Linked DNA regions of Tamandua tetradactyla. The protein of the gene in region 1 interacts with the protein of each later gene in a biochemical or structural test. Links are inferred from orthologs where the notes say so. Each region holds a gene or a part of one and is shown on either strand. Other genes may lie near its edges.

The links.
Region 2: of the proteins of XIAP (region 1) and TLE3, one has a biochemical effect on the other in vitro, tested with the Homo sapiens proteins (2 studies listed by BioGRID). The link is inferred for Tamandua tetradactyla from reciprocal best matches to the Homo sapiens genes XIAP and TLE3.
Region 3: of the proteins of XIAP (region 1) and HTRA3, one has a biochemical effect on the other in vitro, tested with the Homo sapiens proteins (3 studies listed by BioGRID and IntAct, with this or other methods). The link is inferred for Tamandua tetradactyla from reciprocal best matches to the Homo sapiens genes XIAP and HTRA3.

What each region holds. Positions count from the first base shown.
Region 1 is NC_135353.1:41,719,147-41,726,605, reverse strand, and holds the start of XIAP (E3 ubiquitin-protein ligase XIAP), read left to right. Parts: upstream 1-4,291; 5' UTR 4,292-4,457; intron 4,458-4,517; exon of another isoform or gene 4,518-4,743; 5' UTR 4,744-4,869; intron 4,870-5,007; exon of another isoform or gene 5,008-5,170; intron 5,171-5,218; exon of another isoform or gene 5,219-5,371; intron 5,372-7,459.
Region 2 is NC_135338.1:72,482,810-72,490,032, forward strand, and holds the start of TLE3 (transducin-like enhancer protein 3), read left to right. Parts: upstream 1-3,961; 5' UTR 3,962-5,158; coding exon 5,159-5,182; intron 5,183-5,731; coding exon 5,732-5,832; intron 5,833-6,376; coding exon 6,377-6,440; intron 6,441-7,223. UniProt on the Homo sapiens protein: Transcriptional corepressor that binds to a number of transcription factors. Inhibits the transcriptional activation mediated by CTNNB1 and TCF family members in Wnt signaling.
Region 3 is NC_135345.1:4,562,707-4,570,507, reverse strand, and holds the start of HTRA3 (serine protease HTRA3), read left to right. Parts: upstream 1-4,539; coding exon 4,540-4,924; intron 4,925-7,801. UniProt on the Homo sapiens protein: Serine protease that cleaves beta-casein/CSN2 as well as several extracellular matrix (ECM) proteoglycans such as decorin/DCN, biglycan/BGN and fibronectin/FN1.

The DNA of each region.
Region 1 (7,459 bases):
AATTGTAACCCATGTCAAATTCTGAAATATGTTCCAGAACTAATTGTGGTGCTGTGTTTTGAAATTTATAGCTTTTTTTGTATATAAGTTATTTTTCACAAAAAAGAAGGAAAAAAGTTGAATATGAGGATAAAAAAATATTTAAGCCCTCTAGCCTCCTATATTCTGGAGGAGCTAGAAGGAAAAATATGAGAGGATTGTATGGTAGCTCATTACAAACTCTGGGATCTCTCCTATAACCACTTGTTGAAAAGTGCTTTGAAAATTATTGCTTTTTTATTTCTTTGCTTTGTATACCTGTTATACTATACAAAGAAGATAGTGATCCCTCTGTTGTAAGCTCATTTATGACAAGACTGATGTCTAACTCATTTTTTAATTCCTCCAAGACCCTTCTAGTCATTTTTAATTCCTCCTTCTTATACCCCACATGCAATCCATCGCAAATCATGTCACCTCTATCTTCAAAATACATCCAGAATACCACCAATTCTCACCAACTCCACCACTACAACTGTAGTCCAACTCTCTCTTGGATGACTGTAATAGCCTATTCACTGGTCACCCAGCTTCCACCCACGGCCCTCTCCAGTCTACTCACACAGTAGCCAGAGCTATCCTAATAAAATGCAAGTCAGATCATTGTCATTTCTCTACTGAAATCCCTTCAATGGCTCCCCATTTCACTCAAAGTAAATGTCACAGATTTATAATGGTTTGCAAAACTGTGGTGGCCGGCCATCAAGATGACCCCTGATGATCTTTGCTTCTTGCTATTCACAACCTTGCATAGTTCCCTTCTATACTGAACCAGGGCTGAAAGTGTGACCAGTAGGATACGGTGGAAGTGATGGCATATAACTTACAAGTTTAGATAGTAAAAGGAATTGTGCCTTCTGCTTGCTCTCCTTTGGATTGCTTGCTCTGGAGGAAACTAGCCATCTTATCTTAAAAATACTACAAAAGCAGATAAGGAGGCTCCCAGGGAGAGAAACTAAATCCTCTCCCTCACTTCTCCCTACTATGGCCAGCACCAGCAAGCTAACCATGTGAATGAGCCACCTTCGGAAAAGGTCTTTCAGCCACATGTTTCAGATGACTGTAATTTCTTGTGACCAAGAGTCAGAATCACCCAGTTAAGCTACTCCTGAATCACTAAATTTTAGGACATTTTGTTACATGGCAGTGGATAACTAATACAGAGGCCCTGTACAATCTTGATCCCTTTTTACCTTTATGTCCTCATTTGCTACTCTCTTCCTTGTTCCTTTAGCTCTCCTGCCTTTGCATTCGCTGTTCACTCTGCCTGGAACACTTTCCCCAGATAGTGCTATGGTTTGTCCTTCACCTCCTCCATGTCTTTTCAGCTAAAATGTCAGTGTCTCAATAAGGCCTACCCCAACCACCATATTTAAAATTACAACTCCTTCTGTCAGTATTTCCAGTCTTCCTTCCACACTCTAATTTTTCTTTTCTCCATGACGTCTATCACTTTTAACATGAATATAATTTATTTAATTATTGTATTTATTTATTGTCTTTCTGTTCCCTCTACACCTGCTAGAATATAAACTCCAAGAAGACAGGGATCTTTGTTTTGCTCATTGACAAATTCTGAGTGATTAGAACAGTGTCTGGCACAGAGTAGGTGCTCAAATTTGCTGATTTTTTTTTAAAAAGAGTGAATACAAATTTCATGAACATGCCAGAGCCTCAGTAAATGCATGTTGGGTGAACTATTAATTTACAGATATGAACAGCAAAGACAGATATACCTGGGGTATTTTATGTGCAGAGATACTGTGCCAGTTTGAAAGGATTTATGTACCCCAGAAAAGCCATGTTTTAATCTTCGCCAATCTTGTGGAAGCAACAGTTTCTTCTAAATCCTATTCAGTACTATAGGTTGGAAACTTGTTTAGGTTATCTCCATGAAGATGTGGGTATTAAATCTGATTAGATGGAGACATGCTTCCACCCCTTCTACATTGGTCTTGATTAGGTTACTGGAATCCTTTAAAAGAGGAAGCATTTTGGAGAAAGCTTTAGAACGACATGGCCACAAGAAGCAGAGTCCACCAGCCAGCAAACTTTGGAGCTGAAGAAGGAAAACTTCTCCCACAGAGCTTCATGCAGCAAGAAGCCTCAAGAGAAAGCTAGCAGGCTGTCTACAGGTTGGCCACGTGCCTTCCCAATTGAAAGAGAAACACTGAACTCTTCGGCCTTTCTTGAGTGACAGTAACCTCTTGATAGTGCCTTGGTTTGGACATTTGTATAGACTTGCTTTAATTTGGAGATTTTCATGGCATTAGAACTATAGAACCTGTAGAACTGTAAACAAGTAGCTATACTGCATGAGAGAAAGCACTGTGCTTCATAACAAAGGCACAAATTCAAGCGCCAAGAGAGTTCAGAGGTGGAAGAGATAACCTTCAGCTAAGACACCTAGAGAAGGCTTTGCATAGGGGCAGTCTTTTCATCTAGGCAGAGGGATAAGTTTGAACAAATTAATGGAAGATAGGAAAGCAGGGGATGGGCTAGGAGACATTGAGTAGTTTTGTTTTATTGGAAGATAAGGAAGGTATTAGGTCCCAGAAAAAAAATTCTAAGAGCAAAAGGAATTCTTGACACAGAGCCCCTTCAGCCCCCCTCCTCAGCATCCTTGGAAGTCCAAGGATCCAGATATGAACCAATTACCATACTGGCTGGGATTGTATTCTACAGGCAAATGAAGACATTCCAGATAACTAGAAATACAGTCATAATCTGTTTCTGTTAATAACACCCTCCTCTACCAGCACCTCACCCTGCCCAATACATGCAGTTGTACATCAAAGGAGAATACCTTAGTAATCTATGATACCCTAAGTCAACAAGCCCCCATCCAATCAAGGGACCACACACCACCTAGTGGGCACCCTTCCCCTCTCCTGGCATCACTTTCCCTTTATAATACAGCTCCCAGAACAAAGAGGGCCAGCCATTTTTCTTTCCTTTCACTGGCTCCTGTCTACCTACTCTCTCTGCTTTCTCTCTCTTCAATAAATCTGTTAAGCCTCCACTGGCTGTCTGCTGTGGATTCCTTAATGACTCCGTGCCTAACAGTAGGGTGCCCAAGGGGAGAGTGAAAATGAGGCTGAGCAGTTTTAACATTATCCTGGAAGCAGAAGTATTGAAGAGTTTAGCTCAAAGGGCCTTTTGCAAGCCGAATTGGGGGGACCAGTCCAGGGACAGAGAAGTCAGGAGACTGGGTAACGGTTAGATACACCTGTAATCAGACAGATCTGGGTTTAAAATTGTTGGGCCAGTTCCCGTACATACTAGCAGTGTGACCTTCAGTATGTCACTTAATATCTTTAAACCTCAGTTTTCTTATCTGTACAATGGGGTAATGATAGTTATACTTCATTAGATTGCTGTGAGAATTAAATGAGATAAACATGTGCATGCAATTACTATTACTGCACTAAGTCAGATGTGAGACTACCAGGGCTGTGACAGTGGGAGAGGATCAGAAAGAATAATATCAACTGTAGCAAAAGCCCAAGAACCAAAAAGAAAATTATTTCTTCTCCTCCCTCCAAGTCTGCTTTTCATTGGAGACAGCATCATTTGAGGATGCTGGCGATACTTTTGATATTTTCCATGACATTAAATATCCTGGTTCAGAAATTATTATCTCAACACACTAGCCTGTTAGAGAGCCTGAGTTCTTGAAAGAAAAATTCAGATGTAGGTCTGACAATCCTACAGCATATTTGAAATAAATCCAGGGTATGATCAGCACATTATGTACTTACACTTCCTTTGTTTCCCCTCCTTCTGCTTCCTTCTGCTTTCTTATTCCCCTGTTCATTTTCCATTCACCTCCTAAATTATTTTCTTCTCTCTCTCTCTTAATGAATGTCTCCCTTTCTTATTCTTCTCATTCTTCCCTTCTTGGAAACAGAGCTTATCCTAATAGTAGCTCTCTCTTTTATTTACTGAGCGATATTGGGATAGTTTGCCTCTCTGGGTCTCAGTTTCTTCTGTAAAATGGATTTAGTAAGAGAGTGCCTACCTCATAGGTTTGTCAAAATGACAAGAACATATATATAGCACAGCATCTGGTCTATAGTAAGAATTAGACACGTTCTCTCCCTTCTCCGTATTCCTTGTCCATTACTTTATCTCTATTCGGCTACTCCTTAACCCTAGAGCCCGGCAGGTAAAAACCGTGGGAAATAAAACATCCTGTAGGCTAAAGCAGGAAACGCTTAAACTAGGGGGCGGGCACCGCGCGGTACCCACTGCGCATGTGCGCCAGGTTCGTCAGGCTCCCGTTCCCAGCTGGGGTCGGAGCCGAGACTGGGCGATATTTTTTTTCTGGCTGCTCTTACCACTCAGGGAAGTGTCGTGACCGTGTTGGCGCCCCGCGTGGGCGCGGCGCTAATCGAAGGTCACCTCAGCCCGAGTGTGTAAGTTGAAAAATGGCGGAGGGGGGAAGAAGGAGGGGCTTTACAGGGCGGGAGGCTGACCTTCCACGGGGGCGGGAGTTTTTGGGGTGCGGCGGGCAGGAAGGACTGGCTGCCGGGGCCCCGTCAGTGGGGCTCGGACCTTGAGACCGCTGGACCACGCCCAGTGTTTCTTTGATGCTCTGACGTGGACGCACTTTGGACTCTCCGACTCGGGTTCCTCCGGGGGATGGGCCGGTTGGTGGATGCGGTTGAGGGAGACGGAGAGACTTCCGTTTCCTTCTCCTAGGCCCAGGCCTGGCTGCAGAACAGAGTTGGCATTTCCATATTGGGACTGGTGGTGCCCCTCCTAGGGATCCTCCCCTCAGGACCTCCCTGGGTGCCGCAGGCGGTCGTGACTGGCGCTCCAGGCCGGGTGAGTACTGCCTTTGCGGGTTTCCCTCTCCACTAGCCTCCCCTCCTCCCCTCCCCCCTCCTCCCCACCCCCTTCCTCCCCTTCTCCCCTCCTGCCCACCCCCTTCCTCCCCTCCTCCCCTCCTCCCCTCCTGCTCACCTCCTTCCTCCCCTCCTCCCCTCCTCCCCACCTCCGACTGGGCCTTGCGGAGGAGGGCGGGAAGGCAGCGAACTTGACGGGGAGGGCGGGAAGGCGGGAAGGCAGCAGTCCAGGAACTGGCCAAAGGAAGGCGAACGTGTATAGCTTCAGGCCGGCGGCGCTGCCTCCCTGAACCCCGTGACTGCTAAAGAACTTTTTTTTATGATCAAAGGGATTTCCCGCAAGTCCCCCCACCTGATGCCTGTGGAATGTGTCTGGCCAGGGCGTGTGAAACAGAAATAATAGGGGCCAAAGAGCTTCCGGAAAAGAAAATTAGCTAGTAATTCTAATCATTGGTGCCCAAGTCACCGCTCCAGCATATTCTGTGAGTAAAACAAAATGTCAATTTAACTTCAGTTTCATTATTTTTTCTTAATAGTGCACGGAGCTTTTTTCTTTGGGGGATAGGGGTGGTGGTTATTGCTAAAAATAAGCAATGGTCCTCCCCACCTCCAAAAAAAAAAAAAAAAGAAAACAAACGTCAAATCTTTGTAAAAAAAACCTATCAGGTTTTAATAACCTACTACTTTGCTTTCAAATACAGTTATATCACTAGTTCTGTCACAACCACAGCTTGATAGTTAAGGACTCAGAGAAATTTACTTTTGTAACAGTAAACGTTGCTATACTGTTTCTTTCTCCTTCTTAATAACATTTGTTGAAATCAGTTCAAAAGAACACTGTTACAGACGGCCATCTTAGAATTATAGCATTTTAAAATTGGAAGGGATCTTAGCCCAGCTCTGTTACGTTTTTACAAAACCGGAATCTGAGGCGATTTCATGATTTACCCATTGGCTCTCCACGACTTAGATTAGAACTCAGGTTTCTGGCTCTTTGCCTATGGTTCTTTCTGTGCAACTTCCCCACATATCCTGCAGGCACGAAAATGAAATGTGTTCAATTCAGTACACATTTCTGAAGAGAATACTTCTTGTTGCCAGCGACTGCCTAGCTCTTAGCAGTTCTTCTTTCAAAACAGTCTCAAGCCTGTGCGTGTTTTTTTTCCCCATCATTCAAGAAGGGGCAACGGTTTAGTTTAAAAACATTTTATACACATACACAAACATGTATACATGTATTTGTTAGGATAATTTCTTGAAGGATACACAAACAAATGTTAACAATAGTTGCTACACGTCAAGGGTGGGAGGAGTGGAAGACTTGCATTGCACTTCCACTCCTAAATGGATGGCCTAATGTACTGTTTTGATTTCTTAACCTTTATCAAGTATTAATTTTATAATTAAAATCAAGTTTTAAAGTTCACACATACATAGGTTAATCAACATAAATAATACATTTCAATGGTACGTGTCTCTATATATGTATATTTATGTATATGTGTGTATCAGTGATTTGTGTTGTAAAATCCAATGTGGCTCATGTATCCCCAAACGGCAAGGCAGGCTTGATTATTATGCTCATGTTACTCCTTTGGTTTTCTCCTATTGCTCTTGATGTAAGATAGTAAAAGTAATTTGTTGCTAGACTTTACTTGGTTTTAGAAAATGTGATGTTTCTTGATCATCAAACAACATAACATTATCAGAAAATCAAATTAGAATATTTATAGATAAGAATCATTTAAAAATTACATTGGAAAGGTCCCTGGGAGTAGTTCAGCTCTCTTGTTTTAACAAATAAGTTAAGACCCAAAAATGAGAAAGTGAACTGCCCAAGGTTATATATCTGATTATTAGCAGAGCCTGGGCTGTAGTCTAGGTCCTAGTCCAGTGTCCTTTATAGTACACCTCTGATCTTATTGCTTTCTATTGCATTTGATGACTCCAACTAGGCTGACAAAGCAATGCTCAATAAAGGTCAGTTAGACCCATTTCAGTAGATAGGAATTGTAATTAATGTACTAGATAATTTGAATAGTACTTGAAATATTTTAGTAACATAAATGTTCCCCTTAAATTTGGTTGTACGCTTTAATTAATAAATCCTTTGTCTACATTGTAAATGCTTAAGACCACAAATGTAAAATGATGAGATTTTACTGTTTTTGTTTTGTCTAATATTTAAGTCTTCTAGCTAGTAGTAGCTCAGGGAAAAGCTTGGCTTACAAAATAAATACTGAACACCTATTGTGTGCCAGGTATTGTACTATGTGTTAGTGTTCTAAAGAAGAGTAAAACAAAATAGAAGAGTAAAGCAAAAAAAAGCCTGGTTCTTTTGAGGCGGGGAGATTATAAGGAACTGTCGATCCTAAAGTTTAATCTTATTTTATATAATCTGGGGTAACAGTATTATAAAATGTAAACTGTTACGTTGTTTGAGATCATTAAAGAGACAAAAGCAGTAGTGGTAAAATACAAAAAAATTTAGTATTGAATTGAAGAATTATCAGTTTTGTGTCTTAGAGGTCATGTGGTAGAGTGAAAAGAACCCTGTATTGGGTACAGTA
Region 2 (7,223 bases), on another chromosome or scaffold:
CGTATATTTCTGTCTGAAGCGCTCAACAATTATTTTTACAGAACCAGAAAAGCAGTTCTTTCGGGCTGGCAGACAGCTGCCCACCAATAACCCTGCAATCCAAATTGAGGAGGAGGACCCTCCGCTCCGGAAATCCAGGCCAGGCTTTGTGTCTCACTCGGGTGACTTTTTTTTTTTAATGTGCCAGGAATTCCTCTCCCACGTGGGGTGGACTCCGAGGTACTCAATTAAGCAGCCAATGAAAAGTCAGCTCTTCGGTAGCAAATGACCCTGACACTTCTTGTAACATAAACAGTTGAAACGTTTCCAATTAGAACTGGAGACAGAGACGTTTGAACTCTTTCTCTCTACTCCCCCCCACCTTTAAAAATAATTGTCAAGCGCTTTGGACAGGGTTTTGTATACATGCTTTTAATTTTCTTTTTCTCGAACATAAAATAAATTTCTTTTTCCTCCTTCTTTTTCTTGATTTGTGGGGTGGCCTGGGTTTGAGAAGCAGAGTCATGGAGAGCCAAAAGGGGTGCTGGCCTGCTTACTAACTTCCCGCCTTCCTTCCCGCTCAGGGTTCAGGCAGCCCCGGGGTGACGTGGGGTGCAGAGAGAGTGGGAGCCAGAGTCGGCCGACCCGGGCCTGTAAAAAGCCTCCGAAAGGGCTGGCAATGAATGAATGTATGTATGTATGAGTGAATGAATGAATGAATGCCTTACCTTCAGAATATGATCCCAGGGAACCAGCTCGCGCAAGCACAGAGGGTGCAAAGCTTGGCTGTCGAGCCGGCTGCCCTGGATTCAAATCCTAACCTGTCCAGCTTGGGGCAAATTACTGAGCTTTCTCATGGTCTCTTTCTTACTCCATGAAATAATGGCCACCAGCCTGGCCGCTTCCCTCGTGAGTGAAGTGAAGATAAAGAGAATAGCAGTGCCTGCCTTCCTTGCTTTGTACCTAGTAAGCGCTTGAACGCTGTTCATTATCTCTTCGGGCTCGGTGGCGTAATCCTCCAGGCTGGCCCGAGAAGGCGGCGCTCTGCAAAAACACGTCCATTACGCAGTTGTCAAACAGTCCCAGGCCCCTCCCCTGTGCCAGGCCTGGCGCTGACGCTGGGTCTCACAGGTGACCTCGACGTGGTTCTGCCCTGTGGAGTGACCCGGCTCGTGGCGTCGTAGGAGAGACACTAATGTCCCCAGAAGCGCGGAGAGATTCAGACTCGGGAATAGCTGCTGTGCTTTTCTGCCCACTGTCTGCGTAGACCCGGTCTGGGGACCCGGAGGCTCCTTGCTGCCTGCGGGCGGGCGCCGCGGGAGCCTATTTGGAGGGAGGCAGTGAGAGGGAGGCCGGACGAGGCGCCGCGTCCCTGGCATCTTGAAGGCATTGTGTTTAATAAATCCGGGCGACACGCACAATGACTCTCTCCCCCATCTCCTCTCGGCTCCCAAATCGAGACCTGCTGTGGACCCCCGGTTTACAGGGTCTTAAAAATCCTTCCACTTTGATTAACAGCTTCAAAGAGCTCCCTTTAAAGTCTAACCCCTCCACGCCCCCCACTTCAGGCCACCCCTCCTCCATTACTCCTTCTAGATTACTGGACGACAACAAAACATTAAATGCAAATTTAAAGGGGGAAAAAACCTTCAGGCTTCCTCCTGAACGTGGGCCGTAGAAATTACCTGTTTCGGGCTTGCATAGAAGTCGGAGGATCATGGAGTAGGGTTTTGGTTTTTTTTTTTTTTCCTTTCATTTCTTCTGTCTTTACTTTTTTTTTTTTTTTGGTTTGTGTGTGTGTTTTTACCTTTTATTATTTAAATTGATACGTTTCATTACTAGGGAGAAAAATAAAATATTCCTTTGATACACAAAATCAAATTGATATTTAGCCTCTGCTTACTTTTTTATGCATGGCTCCTTTATACCACATGGTAGTGACAGATTGTTTGAGCTGGAAGGAAAAGCCATTCAAAGCTAATTAAGCAGCCATTCCAAGCACTATTTGCAAGCGGGAGGCTCAGAAGCCTCGGCATTTGTCAGCGCTCCCCCACCCCGCGTGGTTTTGACTGACAGCTCTGGCCGTAGACTGACAGCTCCCGATAGCTTCGCCAATCAGTGGCGTAGAAGGGCCTCAGCGGCCTTTGATTGGTCGTCCATGCTTTGCTCGGAGGCGGGGTCAGCGGTCACCACGTGGGGACAGGAGCGAGAAAGGGGCGGGGCGGGCAGGAAGCGGGTGCGCCCACCCGTGACGTAAGGGGGAGGGCAGAGAAGGGGGAGGGGAAAAGGAAGCGCCAAAGAGGAGCCATTTTGTGTCTAATGAATGCTGCGGCCAGATGCTCGCATCTGTCGAGCCGGGCTTTTCTCTACCCACCCCCCACCTCCTCGATGCGCGCCGCACACGTTTTATGTTTTTATTTAGGAGAATAAATAAATGAATAGAGGAGCGCAGCTCGGGGCTGACGGCCGGAGCGGGCGCGGGGAGGTTCAACTCTTAGGCGAGTGCTCATGTGTAACTCCCTGCGCACCGGCCTCCCAGCGCTCGCTTGCTCTCAGCTCCTCATTAAGATGCAAAGGCGAACCTCCCGCTCCTAATGAGGGGGAAGTATAGATCCGGGGGCGCGCTGCCGGCTCGCGCGCGCCCAGGGCCGCCTCCAAGGCGCGGGACCCAAAGTCCGCGCCGCTCGCGCCTGCCGCTGGCCCGGGGGTCCCGGCGGGTTCGCCGAGATGCTGGCTAGTGCCCGCGGGGTTCTCGGGAGGGACCGCTTCCCCCTCGGCTGTCCGGCCTGACGTAACTCCGCGCGCAGTTGATAAAGGCTCTGAGTTTTCCAGCAGACTGGCTCCCGGAGTCGAGGGGCCTGTCGGACAGCTCAGGGAGTCCCAGAGGCGCGGCGGAAGGGATGGGTCAGGGGCGCGCGACCGGTCGGGCGAGCGTATGCGCCCCCCGGGGCGTCGTGGCTGGCCTCGGAGACGCCCACGAGCTCGCACACACGTTCTTCCACAAGCTTCCGCCGGCGCTGTAATACTGACGCGGGCAGACCGAGTAAAGCGGGTTGGAACTCGGAGCTCCTAGGTCAGGGCGGTGCAGGGCCCCGCTCCAATCCCCAACTCTGCTCCCCGGACCCCGCACGCAGCGCGGAGCGGTCCCGACAAGGCTGTGGTAACTGTCCCCACGGAGGCCCGCCCTTCGCCGGGGTAGACATCCCCTCGTGGGGACAGTTGGCAAGCTGAGCAGATTGTCCGCGGGCAGCCAGGCCCTACCTTCTGCGCTACTGGCCAAGCAAGAGTTCCTCAGACTTCTCGCGGCTAGCCGCCGCACATCAAAGACGGTGTTTATTTGGCTTTCTGAAAAGAAAGGCGAAGAACAGAGAAAAGAAGCAGAGCGGAGTGGGGGTAGGGGACCGTGGGGGTAACGGAAGGAGTTATAAAGGGACACCCTCAGTTTCTAGCAAATCTTTAGGGGTGTGGGGGTGTGTGGGGCGAGGCAACTTTGGGAGCCACCATTTTATCGGTCCTAAATCTTGTGAAGTGAAAACATTAAAGTGACGAAGTGATTCTGTTTGTTTTATAGTATCTAATTGTGCTGCTTTGCAGACCTAATGAGATTAGAGGGAGGAATCGTTTACCGCCACTGCAGAATAAACTGATACATTACCACCCAGCCACAGGTTTTTAGAATTATACAGCTTGTCTTTTTTTTCTTTTGTTGTTATTTCTGTCTTCTCTCTTTCCCCCTCCCGCTAAGTAATTGTTAGTAGATCGTGGGAAAAAAAAAAGAGGACGAACAAAAATTCTAGCAGCCCAGGACTATAATATATATCTATTTATTATATGTCTTTCGGTTAATTCCTGATCTGAGGAGCGCTGTTTTTCACTCCCATGCGAAAGTCACCAGCGGGTAGGGCCTGATTGCTACTTTTCATGCATAGTTTTAGACACAAGAGGGCATTGTGACGTTGCGCCCGGCGGCGCCCAGTCGTAGGCCGGGTCGGGCAGCCCCACGTGGGGGTTCCGCGCTCCCATTGGCTAGCACCGGGCGAAGCTGCCACATTATTTTGTTACTTTTCAGTCCCTATTTGGAACTGCTCTCGCGGCAGTTCAGACCTCGTGCTCGTCCCCCTCGCCTGTCTGTGTGTGGTATCCGCAAGGTCCGGGCCACTTTTTTTTTTTTTTTGGTGTGTGTATGTTGGGTGTGTGTGTCAGGGTGTATGTGTGGGGGTTTGTCGGGGCGCGGAGAGGAGAGTCGAGCCGAGGAAGGAAGCCGCACAGCTCCTGGGTCTAGGGCTGCGTCTCCCCTCCAGCGCTCTCCAGCCTGCACACCCCGAAGCGGCCGCAGCGCCGAGCGCTCTTCGCTAGGAACTCGGCGTTCGAGCTGGGAGCAACGAGGACCCGTTTGCGGAGGCTTCTCTGCCCGCGGGAGTTAGGATGCCGGAGCAGTTGATTTGCACCTATTGAGCCCGGAGTTTCCTCCTTGGCCCTGGGAAGGGCTTGCAAGCGGCGGCGGCGGCGGCGGCAGGAGCAGACGGAACAACAGGCTCTCCTCTCCGTGGTGGTGGTGGGGGGGGGGCGTCGAAGCGCCCGCGCGGGGCTCCCGCCCTCACCCTCTGGCGCTCTCGCGGTCCCAAGCCGCCACCTCGGTGCCTGTCTCCTTCCTCTTCCTCGTCGCCGCGAGCCCCGGGCGCTGTCGCCTCTGGGATCGGACCCTCGCTCCCTGGATGCTGGGGCTGCCCCGGCGCGCCCCCCTCCTGGCGCCACGGGCTAACTGATCCGAAGGGGACTAGCGCTCGCCCCAGGAGGCAACCCCGGCCTTGGGACCCCGTGCCAGAACCTCTGGGGAGAAGACGATGTCCGCGAAGCCCCCGGCTCTGACGCGCTCGACGCAGCCGGGGGAAGGCGGCCGGCCGCAGCCCGCCGAGCCCTAGGCGCACAAAGCCCGCGCCCGCCCGCCCGGCCTCGGCGCCCGCAGACGACTTTGCCGCCTGCTCCGCAGCTCTTTGTCTCCACTTGGGGTGGGCGCCCGACTCTGGGATATCGCTGCGAGAGCGGGCTGGGGGGGCCGGGGGCGAGTTCTCGGTTTCCCGGCCGCCCCCCGCTCGGGCTCGGCTCCCCCCTCCCCCGCAGCTCCCCGGCCCGGGCTTTCGGCGCTTCCACGCTCTTGGAATCACGACCCCTCCCTGCCATGTATCCGCAAGGCAGACATCCGGTGAGTAATTGCAACTCGGTGTATTTAAGCATCTATCACGGCGGGGTAAACGAGGCAGTTTATCTGGCACCTCCATTTTGCTCGTTGCTACCTTTATGGTGTGTGTTTGTGTGTATGTATGTGTTCTCACACAAAGGGGATGGGGGGCGCCGTTGAGAGAAGAGGTTAATTCCGCCCGAGTGGCGTAGGGAGCTCCCTGTGTTAGAAGGGGAACTGTTTTTGCACTCCCCTCCCCCGCCCCCTTTCCTAAGTCTCCCAACTCGTACGTTCCCCGCCCCCCTCTTTCTTGGAATTGGGAGCCCCGTAGTGAAAAGGGTAGGAGCCCCGCGGCTGAGAAGGACTAGACCACAACCCTGTTGTGGGACTGAGTGACTTGGGGGAAGGTTTGGGGTTGCGAGGGGGCTTCTCTAATTATGAGCCGGCGCGGGTGGGGGTGGGGATGGGGGGGTGGGGAGGGAGGCGGAGGGAAGCCGCGGAGGGGCCTGGGCAGCTTTGAGCCCCGTCTGATGGCCCCGCCCCCCTCCCCTGTCTTGCCCTCCCGGGCTCCAGGCTCCCCATCAACCCGGGCAGCCGGGATTTAAATTCACGGTGGCCGAGTCCTGTGACAGAATCAAAGACGAATTCCAGTTCCTGCAAGCTCAGTATCACAGGTAAGGCTGGTGGGGACCGACCCCGGGACTGCCGGGGAGTGGGTCCGTGGCTCCAGGCGCAGCTCCGTCCGGGACCGAGGGTCTCCCGACCCCCGGGCGGAGGGGCAGCCCGGCCTCCGCCTTTTGTTTTCCCTTTCGGAGCGCGGGGCCTTAACCCTTGGCAGCCCCGCAGCCTCCCGCTCCCAGCGCCGCCCGCCCGGGCTCCCCGGGGTCGGGGTCGGGGTGGCGGACGGGCTGGGCCCGGGTCCCGGAGGTGGCGGGCTACAGCGTCCGGGTTCTGCCGCCGCCCCACCCCCACCCCTGCAAGCCTACTAATTCCACTCCCAGGGCTTGGGAAGTTTCAAGTTGTTTCATTCCCCCTAACCCCTCCCCGTGGCAGGAACCCAAATCCCCCTCCCCCGGAGGCTGCGGGATAATGGGGTAACCTCGGGGGGGGGAGGGTGGTCAGGGAAGTGGAAAAGAGGCCCTCTGAGGCCCTTGGGTTGGTGCCTCCGAGGAGGCTGTGCAGGCGCCAGGCCTGAGCCGGCTCCTTCTGCCCTCGCAGCCTCAAAGTGGAGTACGACAAGCTTGCCAACGAGAAGACAGAGATGCAGCGCCATTATGTGATGGTGAGAGGCGGCCTGGGGCCTGGGAGGGACCTGAGGAGACTCTCAAGGGAGCGTCCGGGAACCGGGTGTAATCCGAGTGCCCTCGGTGCCTGCACCGGCTTTCCTTAGCCCAGGCGGCTTGAGCTGGAGGCAGAAAAAGAAACCCGAATTCCAGCCCGGGGACTTCAGCGCTACCTTTGTGCTGTTTTCATTTGTGTTTCAAAGGCTCTCCAGAGGGCCTGTTGCCCTGTCTTGGCTAATGATAAGATAGGATTGGGTCAGCCTATCCTAGCCTCGATAAAAATCTCTTAGAGACCTCCTGGAGGTGTTAGGAAACTTCTGCCTTGCAGCCCTGGGATTTAGCCAGAGTCGGACCAGAAGCCATCTCTGCCCACCCCTTTCCTTCCCCAAAGATTTTCTGAGGAATGGAGGAGGCTTTGAAGACCTCTTTCCTGCTCTCTCTTTTTCAGGGGATCTCCCCCCCCCCCCTCCCCCGGCTGAGAATCCTTTCAGCCCTGGAGCAGTAGGTGGACTATCTCTCCTCTTTTTCCCAGCGTCAATTGCAGCTAGTTTAAATCTACAGTTTGTGAGAGGACACGGAAGGCACTTAAGAGCCGCTCCCTGCACTGCTTTCCACAGAAGAGGCCTTCGACACAGTGCTAAATAACTCTCAGGACAAGAGGGTTCCACTGTGCATACTAGCCCCTGTGAACGGAAGCTTGAATAAACAGGATATATGGCACATGCGGTGCCTGTTGGAGGGAGGGTCAGAGCTCTTACTACTATACTTATAATATTGTGTTG
Region 3 (7,801 bases), on another chromosome or scaffold:
TTCTGACACTCCCTAGGAAATGCTTCTCTCCTCTAGACAGGGAGAGCAGTTAGGCTGCTTAAGAGTAGCAGGTTTTTATCACATGACTTCATGTTTCCCTCTTTGCCCTGGCTACCAGGAAGCTCAGAGCCAAATTTATGAGCATTCACTAAAAGAATAGCATCTCGTGACTATAATTTGTGTGTTGATATCACCTTTAGCTTGCTGTTATTTTCGTACCACTCCTTTTGCTTTACTCCAATTCTCTCCTTTTTATTTGAGATTTATGCACTTATTCCAAGTAATTAAGACACTGAAAATAAAGTTAAAATTTCCCAAGGCACACCCATGAATTCTTTAATGCTTACAAACAAAATAAAGAACAAAAACATCACATTATGGTGGAAATAGCTAGAAAAAGTGAGAGGTAGAATTGGAGGTGCATATGGGTTTGTAGAACAAAGAATAATGTCTGCTCCTAAGACTTCTTCCTCTTCAGATCAGAAATGGCTGCTGAATAATTTAACCCAAAATATTATTGGATCACAATACAATAAACAAAAGGCCATTTCAAAAATAAAAATGACCCCAAAATGTATATACATGTCTGGCATTGAGCCATGAATAATAAACCCTATCGATTTGTTGTCTTCTGCGTCTGAGTCTGCTAGCTTTTCTTGTGTGTTTATTGAGGTCATTTCCAAACAGGTTAGCGGTTAGAGGGCCAGCTCAAGCAAAGGGAGGTGTGGGGGGTGATATGCCACAGGGGTGTAAACACTACGCAAAGGAGCTATTCCCGCTGCATGTTAAGCAATGTTAAGGCAGGACCCATCCAAGCCGGATGCCTGAGAGATGAACAATTCTCCTTTCAGAGTTTTCCATTCCAGCAAGCTTTGTGGTGTTTCTCGCAGAAATCCATCAGCTACCCAGGAAACTGGGTGGGAATACAACATAGCAATTGGAGAAGTCAGCTCTGTCTCCCGCCTCCCCCACATTCTAGAAATCGGCAGAGTCAAAGCCAAAACACAATCAAAGCGCCCTGTGCGGTGAGCCAGATCGACATTTAATTTTAATGACATAGTAGGAGAAAATAAACTGGAAAAAAAAGGACAGAAAATACTTTTTGGCATATGCGTATAGAAGAAGCTATGCTGATTTGTCTGGTAGGAAAAGGAAAAAAGGAAAGGAGGTCAGTTCTTTAGCTTCCGTGAACACTTACTGAAAGATGCTGATTATATTTCTTGGTGTGGGTTCCATCTCCCTTTTTAATCGTGTGCTTGTGTGTGAAGAGACTTCAACATTTGGAGGAACAAGGGAACGTACATATATGAACGAATGCATGGCGAAAAAGCCAGTCTCCCAGCATATGCCAGCAAACTGACTGAGACGACATACAAAGGACCCCGTGTGATGCCTGGTGCAGGAGTGGGGTGGGGTAGGATGGCAGAACCCAAACCAGGAACCCAAACTGGATTCCCTAGACTTGGGACAGGCACTGCTTCACGTCTCCTGCAAGTCAGTAGTACAGGAGGAGCCTCCGCAATGCGGCAAGCGCCATTTTGGGGAGCCTGGTCCCCAAGGAGCGCCGCCCCCCCCCATCAAAGGCAGGGGCTGTGGTGCCTGGGGAGGGGCTGGGCAGTGGCCCTGGCAGGCTGGCCGGCCCTGCATGTACCCGGTGTGCCGAGGGCAGGGCACTACGCAGCGGGAGCAGCAGGGGGCGCTGGTTCCTCCGTCTCGCCTGCTGCACCTGAGCCCGCACACCTGGGAGCAGCCTCCTCTGCAAGAAGACAGCGCTCTGGGCCTCGGGCCAGCTGTGCTTGCGGCCTCGGCCGGCAGGACTGCCCATATCAGGGAGGACCACAGGGACGGGCTCCGGCTGCAGGGAAGCAGGAGCGGAGAAGGGTAACTGCACCCTGTGCTTTCACTCCGGGCCTCGGTTTCTTCACCTTTGTGGGTTGGTCATAAAGGTCAAACCAGGTGACCCTTGCAGTGGGGGTGGGGAGCCGCGTGTGGGGTTTGGAGGGGAGAGCACGGACACGGGCGGCAGACACCGCTGTCTGTGTCCCCACAGCCATGCGCCATGCCCCCTACCTTCCCGAACCTCGCCCTAAGGACAGTGCCCCTCTAGGGCTGCCACGGATAGTGAGTCAAATAAGGTACGCAAAGCGTCTGAGCAGCCTCCGTGCCCAAGAAGCAGCGGTCATTCTCACTTGCAAACTGTCGAGGGCTGCGCCAGTTCTGGATGGCAGCATCTGGCAGCCCTGGGACCTCCTATAAATGCAAGGTTGAGAAGAAATGGGCTCTTTGGCTCTCCAGGTCTCCAATTCGCCGTCCACGGCAGAAGCTGGGGACAGCAAAGCACTTCCCTCCAGGAGGAGGCATCCCAAAGAGCCTGCTTGCGTCACAGTGTCCCCCCTAGGGCACACTCGGGGTGGGGGGTGAGGATGGTCTGGGCGCAGGGACCACTCTCCTCTGCCACTCATGCTGGACCACTCTGTAGGAGATGCGAACGAGGGGCCAGCCCTGGGTTCCCTGCCCCCGGGAACATTCTAGATTTTCCAAGGAATGGCCTGAAATTCCTCCATGTCTTCAAAGCAAAATACACTTGAAGTTTCTGGAGGAGAAACTGTATGCCCTAATGCTCTCTGTCACAGGGCTTTGGGGAGGGAAAACCCCAGCCCTGTCATACCCCATCCACCTCTGAACACAGGACGAAGCTCAACTCCACTCTCAGGGCCTCTGCTTCCCTTGGCTCCCCCAAGGGCTCACACCGGGGCCCCACTTCCCCTCCCCTCTGTCCTGTGGCCTGAGCAATTTCAGCAGACACCCCCGTCTGACCAGCCCACTCCCCACATACCCAGGCAGCACCCAGGTTCTCCGGGCTCTTGGGGATCCAATCCGCCCTCCTCCCCATTCCCAGACCCCTCCCTCCTCCAGACCGGAGAATCCTGACCGGTCCTGAAAACGTGGATGAAAACAAGCCACATCTTTGTTTTCATGAACACCTCCAACTGAAAGCCAGCCTTTCCTTCCACGACCAAGTAGGCCAACCCCCAGGGGCAGCTCGGACGCTGTCACCAAGAAAAGGCACAGGATTTCTCAACCTCATTGATGGATCTCCAGATATCCCCGTGCTTGTCACAGCTTGGAAATCACAGCAATCATTACACCCTGGCCAGATATTTAATGCACTCCGGAGAAATTCATGTTTTACCCATTATCAAACAGCTTTCTTGTTTGATGCATGAGCAGGCACCAGGAATTGAACCCGGGGCTTCGGCACGGCAGGCGAGAACACTGCCTGCTGAGCCACTGTGGCCCACCCTTGATATATTTTAATAACTGTCTTGTCATACAATTGTTCCCCTTTGCAATCCTGCGCAGTTTATTTCATGCATTTGGAAACATCATTCTGAGATGGGGTCCAGGCTTCACCTGACCAGCCAAAGGGGCTCATGGCACAAAAGGGGTGAAAGCCCCACGCTACGTTCCAGCATACACCAGCCAGAGCCCTGCTCTGTGATGCGTCTGCACTGCGACTCGGTCCCTGGGGCTGTCCTCTCCCAACCCCATTGCTGCATTTCCCAATCCTAGAGCCCCTTGGAATTCAACTTCATGGGGGCTGCACTCCCTTCTCTGGCTCCTGAACTATCATCTCCATTATCCCACTGGGAGCCCCCTCAAGGTTGGGGGTAGGGCTGCGACCTGAAGGGGCATTGAGACCCACTTTGTTATTTTATTATCATATCATACCATATTAGAGCAGATAAAATGAGAGTCTTTGCAGGCTGACTGTGTGCCTGGTGTCAGGTGCTTACAGATATTTCTCCATTGGGTTCTTCCAAGGACAGGAGGCCCCGCGGCAGTTCCTCCGCCGAGGAGACGGCATCCAACAAGCCCCGAAGACGGAGAGGTGGGGTCAGGGCACAAGGGGCGGTTTTCAAGGTCTGACCCCAGTAGAGGTGGGGGGGCCAGGACCGTGAAGATAGGTTCTGCTGACAGGTATTGTGTAGGGCCCCTGAGCTCAGAGTTGGGTGATGCTGAGCAGAGCGAGGCGGTGGGGTGGGAGCAGGAATAGAGCTGTTTTGGGGTCTGGACTGTTCATTTCTACCGGGCAGTGGTGGGTTGGGGGTTGAGATCCAGGAGGTGGCGAGGCATCCCCCCGCGAAGCGCACGCCCCCGCGGCTCCCCCTCCCTGGGCTTCGCCGACCAGGCAGGCCAGAATCCCCGCCGCCCGGGTGGGTCCAGGCCCGGAAGGCCAAGGGCGGGGGCGTCTGGGGCCGGGGCGGGGCGGGCAGAGGGCCCGGCCACCCCTTCCAGGAGGGCGGGTCCTCCCCGCGCCCTAAAGACCGCCGGCGCGCGGCCCGCCGCCAGTCACCCGCGGGGAGCGGACGCCTCTGCCCGTGTCCACCCCGGGGATGCCCCCGCGCCCGGCCCGCGCCGCGCCCGCCTGAGCCCCCGCCCGCCCGGCTCATGCCGCCCCTTCCCGGGACCCTGCGCAGGCGCCTGGCGGCCCCCAACCTGTCCCGCGCGCTGCCTCCCGCCGCCCTCCCGTGCGCCATGCCGGCGCGGGTGCTGCTCTTGGCTGCGCTGGCCGCGCTGGCGCTGGCCCGGGAGCCCTCGGTGACATCGTGCCCGGCGCGCTGCGACGTCTCCCGGTGCCCGAGTCCCCGCTGCCCCGGCGGCTACGTACCCGACCTCTGCAACTGCTGCCTGGTGTGCGCCGCCAGCGAGGGCGAGCCCTGCGGCCGCCCGCTCGACTCGCCGTGCGGGGACAGCCTGGAGTGCACGCGCGGAGTGTGCCGCTGCCGCTGGGCACACGCCGTGTGCGGCACCGACGGGCACACCTATGCCAACGTGTGCGCGCTGCAGGCGGCCAGCCGCCGCGCGCTGCAGCTCTCGGGGACGCCGGTGCGCCAGCTGCAGAAGGGCGCCTGCCCGTCGGGTAAGCGCTCGGGCTGGGCGGGGGGCACCGCGCCTACCCCCGGGGTGAAGGGAAAGCCTGCTACCCGGAAGCCGTGGCCCAGGGAAAGCGCCTGGAGGTCCTGGGCACAGCTGAAAGACGCTGCAAAAGTCCTCTAGCCAGCCCTCTGCGATCGTCCAGGTGGGGAAACTGAGGCCAGGAAAGGCCCACTGCTATCCTCAAGGTCCCAGGATCTGTCAGGGAGGAGAGTGAAGCCCAGGGCCCTGTGCCCTGTCCGCCTGGGCCTTGTCTGGCTCTGTCCTCCTCCAGCCCCACCAGAACTCACCTGTCCCGAGTGCCATTCCCCGGGTCCTCACACCCCTGCTCTATCAGAGGGGCTGGGTCAGAAGCCCTTTCCTGACAGTCTCCAGTGGTCCTGCCCACTGGGGCGATACCCAGTGGTAACTTTCTTTATTTTCTAATGCAGTTGAAAGGCACATCTCCAAGGGGCTCTTTGGGAATTGTGAGCCAGTGGGGTTCCTGGACAGCTTGGGGCCCCATGGGGTGGCACCCTTGGGGGAAGGGACTTTCTCAGTCCCTCAAAACCCGGGACCAGCCTCCCCTGGCCCCGAGTTGGCTCTGGGTGGCAACTTGCCCCACAGCTTGTCCCTGTGAATGGAGGAAATGCTAGAAAACCTTGCCACCCCGTTCCCTGCCCAGGTACCTCTAAGGAAGGCAGGTTCCGCTGCCCGCTCCACAGGTACTGGCCAGAGCCCTGTGCTGGGCTGGTGGCTGGGCTGGTCCCGGGCTCGTGGGATTGAGAGATGCTGCGATGCCCATCTCGGTGCTCTAGGAACACAGTGGGAGAGCACCAAGGGCCTGGGAAGCCTTCGGTGGGGCTGGGAAGAGGGGCACATTTAAGCTGAAACTTAAAGAATGAGGACACGTTTTGTAGGTAGGGCTGTGAAAGACATTCCAGGAAGAGGGAGCAGCGCGAGCAGACACCTGTAGGCTCAGCCATGCGCTGGGATGCATTTTGAAAATCAGCCCAGAGCCGCTGGCATCTGGGGTGCTGCAGGGACGGTGGGGGGGGGCACTCCGGGCTGGGCAGGTCAGCATGGGGCAGATGACAAGTTGCCACATGCATCGCGCTAAAGAGATTGAACTTTATCCTGTCAGGCAGAGCTTCTCCAAATGTGCCAGCCTTTGGAAAATAAAGGTCCTGTGGTTCAAAGCAGTGGGGAGCCTCTAGGGACAAGTCGCACAATGCTTGACTAGATCCAGGGTTCTGAGAAAAGCCTTCGGTAAGAAAGACAAGAAACAAAACCATGAAACTCAGGGTTTCCCAACTTCTAAAGATTATTTTCTGGCAGAACATACATAGCCTCCTCGCAGCACCGGGGTTCCAGGGAGCCCATTTGGAAAGCACCACAGATTCTAGGGGTCTGCTGCGGCAGGGCTTCAGGGGGCTGGGGTGATCGGTCAGACTCGTGTTCAGACCGCAGGGACAGGGCAGCGTCTCCCGATGGCAGGAGAAGGGTGTGGCGATTCCATACCTGTCCCTGCATCCCCCCCACCCCCGCAGGGGGCCTTCCTGGGATGGCCTCGGGCCAGTGGGCCCATCTAGGACCTTGACGGTGTGTCAGGACAGGCCTGGCGCCTGCCCGCTGCGGCCTAGTTGTACAGGGGGCTGTCCCTTCCCCAGCCCGGCCTCCCCCACGTGGTGGACACTGTTAGAGTAAAGCCTGGGCTGGGGCCAGGGAAGGGGGAGGGGGTGGAAGGAACTGGAAACACCGACATGGAGGTTGCGTCTCTCTGGGCTCTGGGCGGTGAGGTCACGGCCCTGGAGCAGACCCCGTCTGGGCCCGGGTGGCCCTCCAAAAAGGCCGGAGAGGAGGAGAAGAGGGCGAGGATCCTGAAGGCCCAGACAGGGGCAGGGGTCACTCAGAAAAGGCAGGAGGTGTCCAGGGGCATCGCGACCATGGGCCAGGGCCCCAGACCTGATCATGACCTCAGACAGGCCCCTTTGTTAGCCTCAGTTTCCTCATCTGTAAAATGGGGACACAACAGCCCCCACTGCTGAGGGCCGTTGCAGGTTTTAATTAGCCAGAAAGCACGTTCCCAGCACCTACGTAGCCACTGGACTCCTTTTTTATTCCAGCCACTGGTGTCATTATTATTTGCCACTGGCATTTCTGTCCTGTCTGGCAAGGGTGGGGGGTTTTCCGGAAGGGGGGCTTCTGTGCTGAGCTGTGAGCTCCCGGGCAGAGCACGGGAAGGGCCTTCAGGGCACAGGGAGGGACCCGGGAGCTGCAGAGGTGAGTGGACCAGCCTGGTGGGACGGGAGCCTGCAGGCCCCTCACCGCAGCCAGAAGGGCAGGTGCAGGGGAGAGGGGGGTGTGGGGTCTGGAAACAGGGGAGAAGTCCTGGGTGCAGGAGGGAGGATTAGTGGCCCTGCACGAGCCCAGGCTCTCCCTGGATCCCCCATGACCTCGAAGCTGACACCAACCCCCTGGCCTGCCCTGGCCCCGGCTCCTCGGAGCTGCTGCCCAAGTCCAGGGACTGCGGGTCATGCTGTGGCCGAGCCTCAGCCCTGCCAGGGCATCCTGGGCTTCTGTGATCATTGTCCCCACCCCCACCTCTTAGATCACAGAGACCTCGACGCCCTGGTTGTGGCAGGGGCCCAAACAAGGGATCCAAGCAAAATCCAGGCCTCATGGAGCCCTTGCTGTGCCGTGTCTGGCTGGCGTCACCTCTGTAAGCCTGCACCCTGCTGACACCTGGAGGTGTTCGCCAGGGCACGGGAAGGGCCAGCAGTGGGCTCAGGACATGGCCAGGAGCTGTCTGCCCATCCACCCACTCGCAGGCCCCAGGCCACCTTCGGGTCTGGAGGCAGGGGTCAGGCCTGGGGCTCCCACA